Linked DNA regions of Callithrix jacchus. The protein of the gene in region 1 binds, or shares a complex with, the protein of each later gene. Links are inferred from orthologs where the notes say so. Each region holds a gene or a part of one and is shown in the gene's direction. Other genes may lie near its edges.

The links. Proteins that work in one complex are often made in the same cells at the same time.
Region 2: the proteins of tubulin alpha-1A chain (region 1) and PIERCE1 are in contact, whole or in part, in a cryo-EM structure (PDB 7UNG), measured with the Homo sapiens proteins. The link is inferred for Callithrix jacchus from reciprocal best matches to the Homo sapiens genes TUBA1A and PIERCE1. Residues at the interface, in NP_001257328.1 of Homo sapiens: Met1, Arg2, Gln15, Asn18, Ala19, Glu22, Cys25, Leu26, Glu27, His28, Gly29, Ile30, Gln31, Pro32, Asp33, Met36, Pro37, Asp39, Lys40, Asp46, Asp47, Ser48, Asn50, Glu77, Gly81, Thr82, Tyr83, Tyr224, Thr225, Asn228; in NP_001041730.1 of Homo sapiens: Tyr28, Pro35, Gly36, Arg37, Phe38, Trp43, Phe44, Arg45, Gly46, Tyr47, Arg48, Thr58, Ser59, Asn60, Gln61, Ala62, Tyr63, Gly64, Arg66, His71, Glu72, Pro74, Phe77, Tyr78, Pro79, Asn80, Ser81, Asn82, Lys83.

Annotation. Positions count from the first base shown.
Region 1 is NC_133510.1:70,370,222-70,373,964, forward strand, and holds the start of tubulin alpha-1A chain, read left to right. Parts: upstream 1-1,485; 5' UTR 1,486-1,580; coding exon 1,581-1,583; intron 1,584-3,654; coding exon 3,655-3,743. UniProt on the Homo sapiens protein: Tubulin is the major constituent of microtubules, a cylinder consisting of laterally associated linear protofilaments composed of alpha- and beta-tubulin heterodimers.
Region 2 is NC_133502.1:184,010,199-184,013,941, reverse strand, and holds the start of PIERCE1 (piercer of microtubule wall 1 protein), read left to right. Parts: upstream 1-1,568; 5' UTR 1,569-1,598; coding exon 1,599-1,741; intron 1,742-2,793; coding exon 2,794-2,872; intron 2,873-3,743. Other genes in the region: MRPS2 (small ribosomal subunit protein uS2m), read right to left, coding at 336-461, 649-691. UniProt on the Homo sapiens protein: Microtubule inner protein involved in the attachment of outer dynein arms (ODAs) to dynein-decorated doublet microtubules (DMTs) in cilia axoneme, which is required for motile cilia beating.

The DNA of each region.
Region 1 (3,743 bases):
CAGAGTACTGTGGGAGTAGTGCTGCAGACCCCAAAAATCTGTCACTAAAAACCAAAACGAAAAATTATTTGTCAAAATACAAATGTAATTTCAGCTTCTGTGGCCAAACTTATTTATTTACCTCTGAAATTTCATCACCAATATCTGGTGGTACGAAGTCCAGTGACTTATTCTGCATAGCACATCATTGCTGAGAATGAAGCCTTTCTAAATAGCAAGAGAATGTTACTACAATTTATTTCCTATGGGTGAAAGCAAAGCCTTTTTGTCCCAAGAGGCAACTGAGCAACCACCAGAGTCTCTAGTTGAATAGCAAGGGTGTGAGGCTGGCTAAAATTCCCACAGTTAGAATCCACCTGCAGGAGGATATTTACCAAATTGACATAAGAACTACATAAAAAGGAAATGCAGTTATTGAGCTGATGTTTCACCGTTGTCTGTGGATGGAGGCAACATAGCAAAATGGTCTGCTTTTTACATTATGTTATTCTCTTCTTTTAAATTTGGTTTCTTGGTAATTATTATTTTGTTTGCTACTTTTCAGACAAAAGTACAATGCATAAATATAACTGCACACATGTAGGACTAACTTGTGAACTCAATTATTTCTCCTTGTATTTTCCCAATTCTATATCAGGAAAGATGATGCATTCCAAGGACAATGTACCACACAAAATGTGTTACATAGACTTCTCATAAAGGAATACCTCTAATAAACTATTATAACTACTCTGCGTTCACTAGCTATTGTTTAGTGCCATATTAGAACTATGTGTTCGCTTCTTTATTTAGTATGGTTATTCTGCCCATCTTCCAGTTTTGTTTAGCTATTTGGGTGTGCGTGTGCCTGCAAAAGAAGGTCTGAAAATAAATTAGTTGAACCTGAGAAACCATTTTGAATGATTGTATTAATAAATATTTTTTTAAATTAAAAAAAATCACATTTACCCAAGCCATTTTCAGCAATCACGCCCATTTTCTCTCCCACTTTATTTTTAAAGCAATTAGAGACGCTGAACCCTAACAAAACAAAATGTAGTCAAGTCTAATATACTACGAGGAGGGGCTGGCAGTAATTTTCCTCTAAATATTGCATCTGAACACAAATTCTGTTATTAAGTGTAGGGTAAAAAAACCCTCATATAGATAATTTTAACCGCAGTTTGAGATTCAAGCAATATAAAGTCTTCCAACCCAGTCCCCTTTCTTCTCCTTCCGCCCCTCCCCAACCCCACCCCATAATGGATGCTCGGCAGACTGCTTCTGCACGGTCTCTTTGTCTAAAGGATGCAAACAGTCTATGGATGCTAGAGAAAAAAGGGTGGGGGAGAGATTACCTCATCCCACGTCGTTTGCACCAATCACCAGTCTCCTGTCATGACTTCTCTGGGCAGATTGGGGGTCTGGACCAACAGGAAAAGGCCCCAGCCCATCCCCATGGCGACCGAGTTGTATATAGGGAGCCGCATCCGCCCATGTGCCTCAGGTTCTCTTACATCGACCGCCTAAGAGTCGCGCTGTAAGAAGCAACAACTTCTCCTCGTCTCCGCCATCTGCTCGGCAGCCGCGAAGCAGCAACCATGGTGAGAATCGGCTTCCGCTCTTTGTGGCGGTTGGGTGGAGTCAGCGCCCCCAGGGTCTACTTGGAAAACTTTTAAGCACTTTTCTTTCGTAAGCTGTCTGGGCGAGGATCGTCGTGTGCTTTAGCTTTGTCTGCCCCAAGTCCTCAAGCCCCGCCGCCACCGCCGCAGTGGGGGTGCAGGATCCAGGCAAGGACTGCGCCCAGGGCTCAGCCAAGCGCTGGGGAGGGACAAAGGCGGCGCCTGGGCGCCTGTGTCGTCCGAGAGCCTTTCGGGGCTGAGGACAGCCCCAGCCTGTCTGCCGCGACCGAGGGGTCTGGGGCGTCCCGGCTGGGCCCCGTGGCTGTGCGCCCGGTTTCGTTGCCCCCGAGGGGCCTCTTCCGTCTCGCGTCGTTCTCTGAGGACCGCGAGAGGAGGAGGTGTCCAAAAAGAGCGGGGACCGTGGAGCTGGGGGATGCGGGAGCGGGGACGGGAACAAAGCGCAGCCTGGGGTTAGCGTGGGAAGACCCCTCGCGGTCGTTGGCGTTTTTTCCCGGGAAAATACAGTGAGTTTCTGCCGGAGCCCCCGGCAGCGGGTGTCAGGGAGGCGCAGGGGCGGAGTTGTTTGTTTCTGGCTTCTAGGGCGATGGAGCCACGGGGCGGGGTTCGCCCTCACTGAACCTCCTCTGTCAGTCGCAGACTTTAAGAAACGCCTTTCGTTATTGCGAAACTGTAGGCTCCAAAAGGGTTCTTCACTATTATATGTTAGATGACTTTTTTTTTTCTTGAGCAAAATCACAATTCACTTGGCAAGCTCTTCAACGTCTGCCCTGACCGACTGGAGACAGACAGAGAGAGCGAGAGAGAGCGTGTGTGTGTGTGTGTGTGTGTGTGTGTGTGTCTGGGTGTCTGGGTGTCTGGGCTGCATGTTCAGCGAGAGAGAAAGCCCACTTTGTGAGCTCCCGGGTTACCCTGATAGTCAGGATCTAGGAAACGCCCTTCCCCGCCGCCAGCCCCCACCACGTCAGTGAATAGACAATGGAAGTGGTAGCCCTAAAGACCACAGAGGAAGAAAACCTCTATTGGATGCAAAGAATATTAATATTATGTGGTAGGTGAAGAATCTCAAGATGAAAATACTATTTTGTTTTTTTAAATAAATATTTCATTATCCTTCCACTGGGCTTTTATTCTTTGGTAGCTTATGTGATGCTTCTTTCTAACTTAGGAACCTTTTTGTATTTTTTTTTTTTAAGATACAGATAATTTTTCAGCTTTTACAATGGAGAAGATCTGGAAAAACCTTTTTTAAAAAAGAAAAGTGATGAAATTGCTATAGACAAAGAAGGATTATATTCTGTATCCCGTTGTCCTTTGTTCTAGTGAATCTTCATTAATTCATTTCAATTCAGGCACATGGTCCTGGGCTGGGTCAGAGGAGGAAAACTGGCAAAACAGCACAATGAGATCATGTAGGCAGTTGCTGGAAATAGAGCTTGCTCTGTTAAATAATGTAGCAGACAGTACAGGCTAGCACCAGGCACTGCAAATACAGCAATGCAGCAATGCAGAAGGCAGACCTTGTCTAGCTTCTAAACCCTTGGTATTGATGGATTCTGCAGACAGACTGCGGAAGGGTGTGGCTTCTTGCCTCAGCGGCAGTACAGATGTCCCTGTTACAATATCAAGTCCTATTCAGAAGAAACTTTAATCTTTATTTAAAAGCAAACAAAGCAGTACAATTAATCCCAATTAAGTCATGATTGGATTTACTTTATTTTACAAAATTTGTGCTTCGAATGCGGAATACTTTTTAAATATGAAAAGTCTTCTACTATTCAAGCAAGGTAGTAAGAACAATGGGCTGGTACCATGTGCTGAACAGGGCCAAGGCGACATTGTTATTCAGACCACACCATATGCAGCATTTGTAGCAGATAATTTTCCTTAATCTTTGTAGCATGCTGGGGATATGACCTCAAATAATTTTGAAAAATACCTGTATGTTATTAGAAATATTTTTAGAAATGTACTCAAAGTTTGAAATGCTAATACAGCTTAATTATACAATTTTTTTCACTTTTCCTTCCTACAGCGTGAGTGCATCTCCATCCATGTTGGCCAGGCTGGTGTCCAGATTGGCAATGCCTGCTGGGAGCTCTACTGCCTGGAACATGGCATCCA
Region 2 (3,743 bases), on another chromosome or scaffold:
GTGGGCAGACTCCGAGCCCCCAGGTCCCTTGGGTCCGCCTGGGCGAGCCTGGGGCTCCGACCCTCGGTGGGCCAGTGACAACCCCTAGGGAGCGAAGCCTGGGCTGCCCACTGGTCCGCCCGCTCCCTCGCACCCATCCCTGGAGAGGCGGTGGCCTCAGCCTGGGGTGCTGGGTCCGACAGGACTGAGCGGCGGCGCGCTCGGGGGCGGGAGAAGCCCGGCGGGGCGCGCAGCTTCAACCGCGCGCAGCGCCCGGGCCCCTCCAGGGCTCGCCGCCCCGGCGGCTGCTGGCCTCTCCTCGCTCCCACCCGACTCGGCGGGACGCCCAGTGTTACCGCTGCCGTCCTCCGGCTCGCCGATCGCGGGGGCCGCCGCGCTTCCAAGCGTCCTGCGGCTCGGCCGAGCAGGCCCAGGGGTTGGCTCCCCGAGGAGGCCCAGCCAGCGCGACGGGGCCCGGGCGCCTGAGGGAAGCAGACAGAGGTCCTGGCGCCGCGCCGCGGCTGCACCACGCCCGCCCCGATCGCGTCCCCCACGGGTCCCCTCGCCCTCCCCGAGTTCCTTCCGCGCCCGCTCCGGGTCCCCTCCGCCCCCTCGGGTCCCCGCGCGCCCTCCGCATCCTCCTCCCGCGGGTCCCGCAAGCGCGCTCACCCACGCCGAGCATTCGAGGCAGCGCTGCCGAGGAAGGCGCCATGGCGGGGACGTGGACGGGACGGGGCCTCCCTCCGGGCCCGGCCGAGCGGCCTTCCCTCCCGCCACCGTCCGCGCGGGGCCGCAGCACCACCTGCAGGCCTGGAGGAGCCACGGCGCCGTCCCCGGGCCGCAGGGACCTCCCTGCGGGGCTGGCGAGGGGGCGGGGACGGAGGCGGGGGCGGGGCAGACGAGGGGCGGGGACGGAGGCGGAGGCGGGGGCGGAGCAGGCGACGGAGCAGGACCCGGGGTCCGGGGCTCTAGAGTCTCTGGCGGGGAGTGGGGCCACGTTCCTCGCCCTGCAGCTTGCCCCGCCCTGCTAATGTGCCGAGCCGGCCCGGGAGTCCCCTGACCCTTGGGGGCACCCGCTGAGCGATGGGGACCTTCGCCTCCCGCCACGTGAGCTGTGAACCACGTCTCGCGCAACCTCTGGCTCTCCAAAATTGTTTTTAATATTTAAACGATATTTGGCGTAGGAGAATCGCATAGAGTTAGCGAGATCTCGGGTTTCAATTTAGACTCGGGGTGCTGGGGGCGTGGCATCCCTGGAGGACACTGGACAGCGGACGTCCAATCGCTGCCTGCCGCGTGAACCGGCAGCGCTTAAACCCCGTCACCTGGCTGGCGGGGTGCTAGGCCCTGGGGTTCCTTTACCCCGGGAGCCCACGCCCCGATGCTGGGGTGCCCCGGTGCCCCCGCGGGCGGCTGGAGGCCTAGGGCTGCCCCACACGACGGTTCCAGCAGGGAATCCCTGGCCGTCCTGACCTTCCCGGTCCCTGGGGACTCGCCCTCCGAGGAGCCCGGTCCACGCGCTGCGCCTTTAAGGCCCCGCCGCTCGCGCCCCCGTCACGTGACCTGGCCGTCGCTAGGCAACAGGACGCGGCCTAGTCCCGCTTCCCGCCGGAGGCGCAATGGCCGAGGAAAGCCCCAGACCGTGCGGGGAGCCTGTGGAGCCCAAGGCCACGGCCCCGCCGGAGAGGACCAACGACTACTACCGAGTGAGCGCGGACCTGCCGGGCCGATTCAACAACCCGGGGTGGTTCCGGGGCTACAGGTGAGGAAGCCGGAGCGTGCCTGGGCCTGGCGTCCCCTGCTCCATATCCCTGTTTGAGAGGCCCCGCAAGACCCCCAAGATCCTAGCTACGGAAGTCAAGAGGAGCGAGTGGTCATCGGGGGCCCGCGCTGTCATCGCCCACCAGTGAGCTGAGGAAGTGCTCCCTAGAGCCTGATACAAGGAAAGGGTCAGGCGGGGTCAGGCGGGTTCAGGCGGGGTCAGGCGGTGCGGGGCCGCGGGGGGATGAGAAAGCCCAGCTGTGGTCTCAGCTCCGCGGTTTTGTGTCGGATGAGTCACCTCTCCTCTCTACCCTGAAACTCTGCTGCAGGGCATGAGCACAGCAGCACCTCCACTGTCTTGCTGCGGACTGTGAGCTGCCACAGGGCGCCGCAGACTAAGAAGTAGTAAGGAACTTTGAATTCCGACAGGCAGGTGCAGGCATCTGGCGGTGCCCCCGGGTTTGGTTTCTCAACAGTCCTCTAGGGCAGGGTTTGTTCGTATCCTCGTTCTCCCAGAGAGATGATGGGGATGTAGGAAGAATAGTTTGGACAAGATCTGGGGTTACAGTGGAGCTACTCTGTGTGCCTGCAACCTCTCAGTGGCCTGTCCCTGACAGGGGCAGTGGTACCAGTAGAAGCATGGCCTCAGCGAGGGTGGGGGCTCAGAGGCAGAGGGACCCTCTGGGTGGCAGGATCTGGAGGCCAAGCCTCCACTCCTGACAAGGTGACTAAGTTACCCAGAAATTGCAGCGTGTGCCAAGGCCCTGCCAGGGCTGGGGGTCAGCACTTGCTGGCTGCCTGCTCTTCAGGGCTTTGGCCTGCTTTGAAAGAGCAGGGACAGTTGTGAGCAGAGGGGGCCAGGGAAGCTGGGCCATCCAGGACCGTCAGCCAGGCACTCATGGAGGCTGCCTTTGAGGCTGCATCACCAGCCCAGCCAGGCACATGGCTCTTTCCCTGGGAGCATTTCCAGGGGAGTGCCGCCAACAAAATACAAGGCTGTGGCTTGGACAGAATTAGATTGAATGAATGAAAACAGTGTTTCTCATCCACCAGCACCCAGAAGGCTGTCTCAGTGTACAGGACCAGTAACCAGGCTTACGGGAGCAGAGCCCCCACCGTGCACGAGATGCCCGTAAGTGGGAAGCAAGACCGGGTGTTGGGGGGCCAGGGGGTGGGCAGCCTCAAAGAAGAGGCTAAAAACCTGGGGTTCTCAATAGGTCAACAGTGAGACGGGGAGGGGTACACCCAGGGAGGGGCCCAAAGTTCCAGCATGACAAATGGGGAGGAGGGAGGTTCCTCAACTTGTTTGGGAGAGGGTAGGGTGGAACTCAGCGAGTAAATACATTTGGGAGTGGAGTTTTTAAAAGAGGAGGAAAGTGCATATGGACGTGCTGACATCACTCTGTCCGCATACACCCACCACACGCACGGCAGTCACACATGCGTGCTGACATCACTCTGTCCCCATACACCCACCACAAGCATGGCAGTCACACATGCGTGCTGACATCACTCTGTCCCCATACACCCACCACACGCCAGGCAGTCACACATGCATGCTGACATCACTCTGTCCCCATACACCCACCAGACGCACAGCAGTCATACATATACCCAACCATCTCCTGCAGTTTATAGCAGTCAGTTTTGAGGCAAATCAATGAAGGGTTCCTTTCTTTCTGGTATTTTACTTTATGAGATGTTAACTTGTGACATTAAGAGGCAGTACAGGCTGATGGCATAGCCTGTGGGCAGGCAAGGCGCACTGGTGGGCACAGGAGCCTGTGGGCCTTTGGGGAAGCCAAATGCCTTTTGAGCTTGACCTCAGGCCCCCCTAGAATCTCCCGGAACCAAGCCTCCTGCAGGTCCAGGTGAATGGACAGAGGGACCTGGGAAAGTGGGACAGCCATTTTGGGGTGAGAATGTTGTGGGGCGTTTTTTTCTTTGTCAAAACATTCATCATTGAAAGGTCTGGTGAATGCTTATTTAGTTGTGTTGCATGA